Linked DNA regions of Mus musculus: region 1 is reported to be linked to region 2. Evidence: microRNA targets listed by miRTarBase, many of them from high-throughput screens and not tested one by one. Region 2 holds a microRNA gene; the other region holds the end of a gene's coding sequence.

Evidence for each region. The annotated mature microRNA mmu-miR-500-3p reads AAUGCACCUGGGCAAGGGUUCA and lies in region 2 at 1,443-1,464, opposite strand. An mRNA with a match to its seed (bases 2 to 7 or 8) in the 3' UTR can be bound and repressed. Matches are read on the target gene's strand: a 7mer-m8 pairs with bases 2 to 8, a 7mer-A1 pairs with bases 2 to 7 and ends in A, and an 8mer does both.
Region 1: the mRNA of Wtap is a reported target of mmu-miR-500-3p. Seed matches in the 3' UTR shown: 7mer-m8 at 2,989-2,995 and 7mer-A1 at 2,948-2,954.

Annotation. Positions count from the first base shown.
Region 1 is chr17:12,963,959-12,968,358 of GRCm38, forward strand. Wtap (Wilms tumour 1-associating protein) reads right to left here. Exons shown (of 8, transcript NM_001113533.1): 8 at 2,841-4,093. The coding sequence ends at 3,510. Among named protein-coding and RNA genes, the nearest start is that of Acat2, 5.4 kb to the left of the region's middle.
Region 2 is chrX:7,236,253-7,240,652 of GRCm38, forward strand. Mir500 (microRNA 500) reads right to left here and starts at 1,522; the gene lies at 1,431-1,522. All of the region lies in intron 2 of Clcn5 (chloride channel, voltage-sensitive 5), which reads right to left.

The DNA.
Region 1 (4,400 bases), not on the chromosome of region 2:
AGGGACAAGGTGTTCACTTGTCTCCTTCCTGGAGGCTATACGCAGAGTAAGCAGTGCCAACTGCTTCTGTGGAATGACTGACAGCAACACCGAGAAGTCTTCATTTTAGCTCCTGAGAGACCTATGTGCTAGATTCAAGTCAAAGATAATGAAGGGGGAAAAGGTTAAGAGAATAGTTTCTATTTTTTTCTTTTCATTTATTATTTTGGTTTACAGTTCCAAAAGGATATTCATTGAGGCAGAAAGGCATGGCAACAGGGAGAGGAAACATGGCAGAAGAAGGAATCTGCTATTGGTAGTATTCTAATCTATACAGGAACCAGAGGGCTAGAATATTTTTGTTGTTAACTCTTTTGTTGTTTTGCTTTTTTTTTTTTTTTTTTTTTTTTTTTTTAAAGATTTATTTATTATATGTAAGCACACTGTAGTTGTCTTCAGACACTCCAGAAGAGGGCGTCAGATCTTGTTACAGATGGTTGTGAGCCACCATGTGGTTGCTGGGATTTGAACTCTGGACCTTCAGAAGTGCAGTTGGGTGCTCTTACTCACTGAGCCATCTAACCAGCCCTGTTTTGCTTTTTCTAGATAGTTTCTTTGTGTAGCCTTGGCAGTCCTAGAATTTGCTCTGTAGACCAGGCTGGCTTAAACTCAGAAATCCACTGGTCTCAGCCTCCCAAGCGCTGGGATTAAAGGTGTGCGCCACCATTGCCTGGCTGCTTGGTTTCTGAGACAGGAATTATGTAGTTAGTTCTGGCTGGTCTGGAACTATGTAGACGAAACTGACTTCCAAATTATAGATTCCCTGCCTCTGCTTCCTGAGTGTTGAGATTAAAGGTGTGTCTCACTATGCCCAGTTTTTTTTAAAGATTTATTTATTATTATATCTAAGTACACTGTAGCTGTCTTCAGATGCACCAGAAGAGGGCATCAGATCTCATTACGGATGGTTGTGAGCCACCATGTGGTTGCTGGGATTTGAACTTCGGACCTTCCGAAGAGCAGTCGGTGCTCTTAACCACTGAACCATCTCTCCAGCCCCCTATGCCCAGTTTATTTCTTGTGTATGTGTGCAGCACACATGTGCAGGGGCCTGTGGAGGCCAGAGAGGGCTTTGGGTCTCCTAAAATTCAAAGTTATAGATTATTGGATGCCAAGAATGGAACCAGAGTTCTCTGCAAAAGCAGTAACGTGCTTTCTCACTGCTGAACCATCTCTCCAGCCCCTACAATAGTTTCTTAAATAACTCCTATATCTGTTAGACTGAGGGGAAAAATGGAAAAAAATAATTTAGTGGTGCTACAAACTATTTGTCCTTAAGGGGTCTTGCAGTCATTCTGGGGTTGTTTCATGACTAGTTACAGGAGTCCAACTGTCAGAAAAATGCTGTTTGTTCATGAATTTTACTTTTACAAAAGGCCATATTAAACACAGTTGAAAGGACAAGCTCATCTGTTGAAGTATATTTTTAATAGGAAGCATTTTTTACACATGCTCACACTCGTCTTCTCAATAGTAGCATTCACTCTGAGATAGTAGCTTCAGGTTGGCCTTGATTTCTCAATCCTGTTTCACCCTCTCAGTGTTTTGATTAGACAACATAAAACAGCTACCATCACAACCAACTGTTCACTCACTGAACTGAGTATATGACAACTAGCCCACCTTTCAATGCTAGACTTAATGCTGCTTTCAATTTCTTTTGTTCATAAACTGTTTTTTGTTTTGCTTGCTTTCTCTTTTTTTTGGATGGCCTGGGCTGTGACTATGCTAAGCAGAGCCGTGCCATCCTCAAATTGCTTCCAAAGACTATTTAATCAAGCTTGTTGCCTTAGCCTGCCATCATTAACTATATACTTAAAAGCTTTTATAACTTGCATTTTAGAGTACATTCTAGCTGTCTTAAGACACACCAAGAGTGCATCGGATCCCATTACAGATGGTTGTGAGCTACTATGTGGTTGCTGGGAATTGAACTGAGGACCTCTGGAAGAGCAGTCAGTGCTCTTAACTGCTGAGCAGCCTCTCCAGCCCTTAATTTGCATTTTTACTGCACAGCCGTCACGTTCATTTCTCGCTCCAATCTCTTAAGTATTTGGCACAGCAACCTCAAACCCTGCTCAGGTTTGTTTCTTTTCTTCCTTTTATTCAGAAGCACGAAGGGAGGCAGGAAAACATTAAGGACTAAGCTCAGAATCATGGTTGGGTGACCTGCTAACGTAAGAGTGGATGTTGTCAAGGGAGCTTAAATGATAGTCCTCTAAGTGTTAGCCCAGGTATCATTGCCACATTTTGAGAACAATGGCAAACTAAGGATGATAATAAATCCGGCAGATGCATGGGTGGGGAGAAGAGGAAGAGAGAAGGTGGGCAAAAAGGGAGTGGTGACAAAGAGATGGCACAGCTGTTAAGGGTACTTGTTTCACATGTCCAGACCCATAGACCTCCTTACAATACATGCAAGGATGCTGTTTCTGGAAAAAGCATTATTTGGCCAATGCTTTAAAGCAAACATCTTTGTACCTATTCCCTGAAATCAGATCTGAAGAACAAACTGCTCTTCAACAAAAACCTAAAATTTGGTTAGTTTTTTTAAAAAATGAGATCTTTACGTCAAGAGGGAAAAAAACCAAAACCAAAGTCCTTGAGCTGTAGTCAAACTCCCACTTCATTCTGCAAAGAAAAGTGCAAATTAAAATTAGGTGGATAGTCAGACTTAATGCATAGACTGTTTTAATGTGATCTTTGTATATACTACAGAGTAAGTAGCAATTCAGCCATTCAGTGAAAAGAAAGGACAATTGCTAAACACACCCAAGACAAAAGGAAAAAACAAACAAGAGTCGTAATAAAAATGTTTATTTAGGTTTGGTCAGTACAGGTGAGATATACTGGAGTCACAGGGCAATATGCATTAACAGGACACAACAGTTCATAAAAACTTAGTAACTATGCACACAGATTTCTTAACATTCAGTCACCTAAAGATGAATGCACCTAAAGATGTATGGTGGAAAAACTTTATCTAACGCTGAAACTACTATAGGACTCCAAGTCCAACTTTTTAGTGATAAAAACTACTATACTGGGCAAACCTGGCAGTCCTAAACCCACATCTACTCTAACAAGTCTGAATGGTGCATGAGTAACAACAGCGTGAGGAAGAGTGCCCTGACAGCACAAGTTCTAGATAAGACAGATTTATACAGACATCATTGCTATAGATTCCCATTTACAACTTCACATTAACTCATATAAAAATAACTTGACCCTACACAAAATGTCCTTTTAGCAATGTTCAAAGTAATTAACTGTTACAATTTTCAAAGTGGCAGAGGTATTGAAGCAATTAAAAAAAAAAAAAAAAAAAAAAAAAAAAAAAAAAAAAAGGAACCAAACAAAACAAAAACACACCCACAAAAAGGTAAATTGTGACAAAAGTATGCATTAATTTTTTGACAGTATCCTTTCCCCAATTAAATGACACTGTATAAAAATTTTCTGGAAAAATATTACAAAACTGCACCCTGTACATTTACATTTGAGTCCAAGCCATTCTGAACATGGCGGGAACCCACAGTTCGATTACCTTTCCCACTCACTGCTTTCTCCTCTTGAGGGTCATGACTGGAGTCTGTGTCATTTGAGTGATGTGTGAGAGAGTTTTCACTGCCCGTGGGAGAGTCTACACTTTCATACCCCGCACTGAGTGGGTTTATGTAACTACTACCTCCTCTGCCAGTTCTCTCCTCTGAGCTGTTGGAGGCCTTATTACCATTCCCTGAAGAAGAAGGAAAGTCATCCTCAGGTGTGCTCCCCTCCCTGTGAAATCCAGACCCAGACGTCCTCTGGCGGGAGGAGCTGCCATTACTTGGTCCATTTGCCAGACGACTGCAGTCTTTGCTTGTGACCTCTGCCTGATCTACAGGTTCAGAAGATGTAGTCCTGCTGGTACTTGGAGCTGAAGCTTGAGACTGCTGCTGCTGGTACTGTGCCAACTGCTGTCGTGTCTCCTTCAATTGTTGCTGAAGAACTAGAATGGTGCTCTGCATACCCTCTACTTCTTCATCAAGTTGAATGATGAAGTCATTCAGTTCTGTGCAAAGGAGAGCCAAACTTTAGTATCTTAATTTTTTGTTTGTTTGTTTTCTGTATAGCCCTGGCTGTCCTGGAACTCACTCTGTAGACAGGCTGTCCTCGAACTCAGAAATCCACTTGCCTTTGCCTCCCAAGTGCTGGGATTAAAGGCGTGCACCGCCACCGCCACCACCACCACCCGGCTAATATCTTAACATTTTAAAACATTTCTCTGCTGTATGTACACACACCCACTCACCTGTGTATGTGTGTGCATTGAGAGGCCAGAAGTCAACACCAGATGTCTCTTTTCTACAGCTTTTTAC
Region 2 (4,400 bases):
ATGGTATGTACTCACTGATAAGTGGATATTAGCCCAGAAACTTAGAATACCCAAGATACAAGATACAATCTGCAAAACACATGAAACTCAAGAAGAACGAAGACCAAAATGTGGACACTTTGCCCCTTCTTAGAATTGGGAACAAAACACCCATGGAAGGAGTTACAGAGACAAAGTTTGGAGCTGAGATGAAAGGATGGACCATCTAGAGACTGCCATACCCGGGGATCCATCCCATAATCAGCCTCCAAATGCTGACACCATTGCACACACTAGCAAAATTTTGCTGAAAGGACCCTGATATAGCTGTCTCTTGTGAGGCTATGCTGGGGCCTAGCAAACACAGAAGTGGATGCTCGCAGTCAGCTATTGGATGGATCACAGAGCCCCCAATGGAGGAGCTAGAGAAAGTACCCAAGGAGCTAAAGGGGTCTGCAACCCCATAGGTGGAACAACAATATGAACTAACCAGTACCCCCACCCCACCCCTGAGCTCGTGTTTCTAGCTGCATATGTATCAGAAGATGGCCTAGTCGGCCATCATTGGAAAGAGAGGCCCATCGGTCTTGCAAACTTTATATGCCCCAGTACAGGGGAATGCCAGGGCCAAGAAGTGGGAGTAGGGGGGAGGGGAGTGGGGGGAGGATATGGGGGGACTTTTGGGATAGCATTGGAAATGTAAATGAAGAAAATACCTAATTTTAAAAAAATAAATTGGGAAAAGGAAAAAAAAGAAAAAAAAAAGAAAAAATATTCCTCCAAGGGCATGGTGAAGAAAAATAGTTGTAGGAAGAAAAATATGTACATGTGTGGGGAATTTGCACATTTGCAGGTTATACAGGCATTTGAGCTTGTACTCTATAGATATCACTATTTGAGGTCATTACTGTGTCCATGTACACTGTTGATCCAGATGGAGTTTGTTCCTAAAGGTGCTCACCAGAGACTACATGCAGTAATCTGGCCCTTATTGTCCATCCATTACCATACTCTCAACATTAAACTGAATGCCCAATATACAGTAGAAACTAGACATTGGGGAGGGGAGAAGGCAGATCTAATAGTTCTTTGTCCTTCCAGTGAATCTTTAGCTAGAAACCATGTCTGAAACAATACTCACCTCTAGGCTGTGAGGAAGTAGAAAAACATATCAGGTTTGAACTCCTGACCTCATCCTGTATAACCATACAGGACAGAATACAGAGAAAGCCTACACACTCCAGGTACCTGAGTATTTTATAAGTTAGCTGTAGAAAGAAGCCAACTAGAGTACCTGAAATCTCTTAAATAATCTGTTAGGGGGTTCCCTGGTATACATGACTCACTCAAACAACTATTTTACTCAATAGAGGGAAGGAAGGGGGAGGGGGAAAGAAGGAGGGAGGGGTAGGCTGACACACAGGGTCTCTGGTCCTTCTTGATGCAGATGAGCTCACCTTCTCTGAACCCTTGCCCAGGTGCATTGCATTGAGATAGCACTAAGCACCCAGATAGCAAGGATTAGAGAGGGGGAGCAGAGGAGAAGGACCAGGGCCTTGAGTACTCAATGTGCAGGGGGGGAGGCGGGGGGGGGAGATGGGGGGGGCGGGAAGCACTGTACTATACACCAATATGAAAGCAGAAATGAGAAGTCTTACACTTTGTGTGTTTCTGTAGATTAAAAAGTCCCATTTTGTGACTCACCATCAACTGAAAACATGGAGATGCCACTCCCTACGCATCTCTTTTGAGGGTGAGAGCTAGTCTATCTTGGGGACTACCACCTGCTCAGCATGGTGTCAGCAAATTTGTACTTGTTGGGGGAGAAATGAGAAAGCACTGATTTACAGGTAATTGCCCTTCTATAAGGAAGTAAAAGGCCCCTCTAACCCTCAAAGAGTAGAATGTTGTCAATGAGATAACATTCATATCTAGATGACAAAGACAACAGAGAGGGGGAGGCAAGCAGAAGACTTTATCTTGACGTTCATACCACATGTGTGTGCACAGGTATACTCTACGTATGAACAAATGAAGAAAAAGCCTACATTCCAATACCCTGAGCTCATTTCTAACCTCGGAAGCTATATCATGAAGAAGCTTAATCTCCATAGGCCCAGTAGACAGTAGAGCTAGCATTTCAGACAGCTTAGTTCACTGCAGCACTACCAAACATTAGGAATTCAATCGATCTGGATGACCAGAACAAAATACAAATGCAAGCAACCTGTTAAAAGAGCAAGAAAAAGAATGAGAAGTGGTGCATAGGCTTCTCCTATAAGTATGTAAGGCTCAGGGTTTGTATTTTTGCATAATCCCAGTGCACTGATAAGAGCATTCATGCAAAGCAAAATGGCACAGCCTTTAAATACCAACACTCAGGAGAGTAAAACAGGAAAATTATGAAATTGTAGCCAGCCAGACTATATTGTAAGATTTTATCTGAAAGGGAATAAAATAAATGAAATGAAAAAAAAAACATGCATGCCAGGTCTTTAACAACAGGCAAGGGTGAACAAAACCTGGGGTTTAGTCACCTATACAACAGATGTGCATTTTTAGTGTGTAAGAAGAAAGTTCAATGCACATAAGCATAGACTGCGATTATGTCTCCTCTCCTGCCTTTTAGGTATTCAGAGAACTACATCTCTACTTCCATATGTCACATGTGCATCCACATGGAAACACACACGAGACTGAGAGCTCTTACTTCCTAGCTCCCTGAATGACTGCTCTCTCAGTAGGAAAGCAAATCTCACCACACATCCCTCCTCTGGAGAAAGCTATGCTCTTCAGCAGAACACTCCTGCAACAACACATAGCACAGCATAGTGAACAGTCAACATGTGCTAATTAAATCACCTGGCAGAAGATTCATGATGACAAGGCCCACTCTCATGTGTAATCCATGCACACAAGGAAGTGTTTGAGTTGGTTTTGGTTTTGTACACCAATTATGTGTCTGTCTATAATATTAGGTACATGCCTACAGAAATCATGCTACGGTTTCTCTCTCTTTGTTGCATATTCATTTGCCCACATGCCATCATCAAGTGTGGGAATGAGAAGGCAGGAGAGACCAGCTGAGCTTCTCCCAGACAGCCTGCATGAACATACATAAGAAAGAAGGGAACTCTTTCCTCTCTAGCCCCTCACCTGGCTGGATTCTGTGATTATAAGATTTGAGTGATCATCAGAATCAACTGGAAGGCTTAAAGAGAATATAAACTGCTCTGTGTTATGACCTGATAGGTCAGGGGTGGAACTCCGCACTTTGAATGCATTCCCATGTGACGGTGATGCTGCTGATTCAGGGATCCTGCCTTGAGAATCACCACTGTAAATGGCCATTCAGAACATGAAGCATCTGGACACGGTGGCACATCAGACCTATAATCCCAGCACCCAGAGCCTGAGGCAGGTGAACCAAGAGATCTGGGCTACTCTGGAATAGACAGCAAGTTCCAGGCTGGACTAAGCTACTTAGTTAGACCTCCCTCATCTGAATAAAAAATATACATGATATAAAGACTACTATTTTTAACATGAAAGAGATTCACTTTTCTTTTGGGATCACATGTTGCCCAGGCCAGCTTGCAAATGTGTGTAGAAAAGTATGACCTATGGAGGTGGGTATAGGAGAATCAGCTTGAGGGACAGAGCTACACAGTAAGACAGTAAGCTCCTGTCTTCAAATGGGAGTAGTGATGGTAGTTGACAAGAAGTCACTTAGTCTACTGGTCTTCGGGCTGAAGGGATGAGGAGAGGGAACAACACAATAGGCTCCATATCCACTCTTCCTGTGAGCGAGTGACTCCTCTCCACGTAGGCCCATGTGTTTAGGCATATCTAGGGCCATGGGAGGGGGAATAGTTTGAGAAATCTCATCTATCAGACCCTGCACTGAGTCATTCATACAGAATAGAAAACAAGGAACAATAGACCTAGGTCATTCTTTTGAACAGCAGTTGGTGAGTCTATAATAGTCAAGGATCTTAGTGTGTTTATTAGTCTCCTAAGAGAGTAGCACCTCTGTTCATTTTGTTTCCTGCTACATCCTCTATGACTAACAGAGCTGTATCAAATAGTGCATACCTGAATATTTGTGAAAGGAAGGAAAAGGAACAGGGGTGTGGACATATAGGGGCTCTGTCCTTTAAAGTGCAGGCGAAGTGCCACCCTTTGGATTCCTTGGACAGGACTTACTATTGAAAACAGCACTTGTGCTGAGGATTAATGTTCCTGATGAATCAGGTCAGATAATCCTCTCTGTGGGCACAAGTCTGTGAATCCTCTCCTCTGTATACACTGCATTTATATGGGACTGTGTTAAAATATGGAAGAATCCAAGTGGACAGTGTACATGAAGTCCCAGTCTACAGTCCACTCATGCAGGCATAATGGATGTGACACAGCTCACT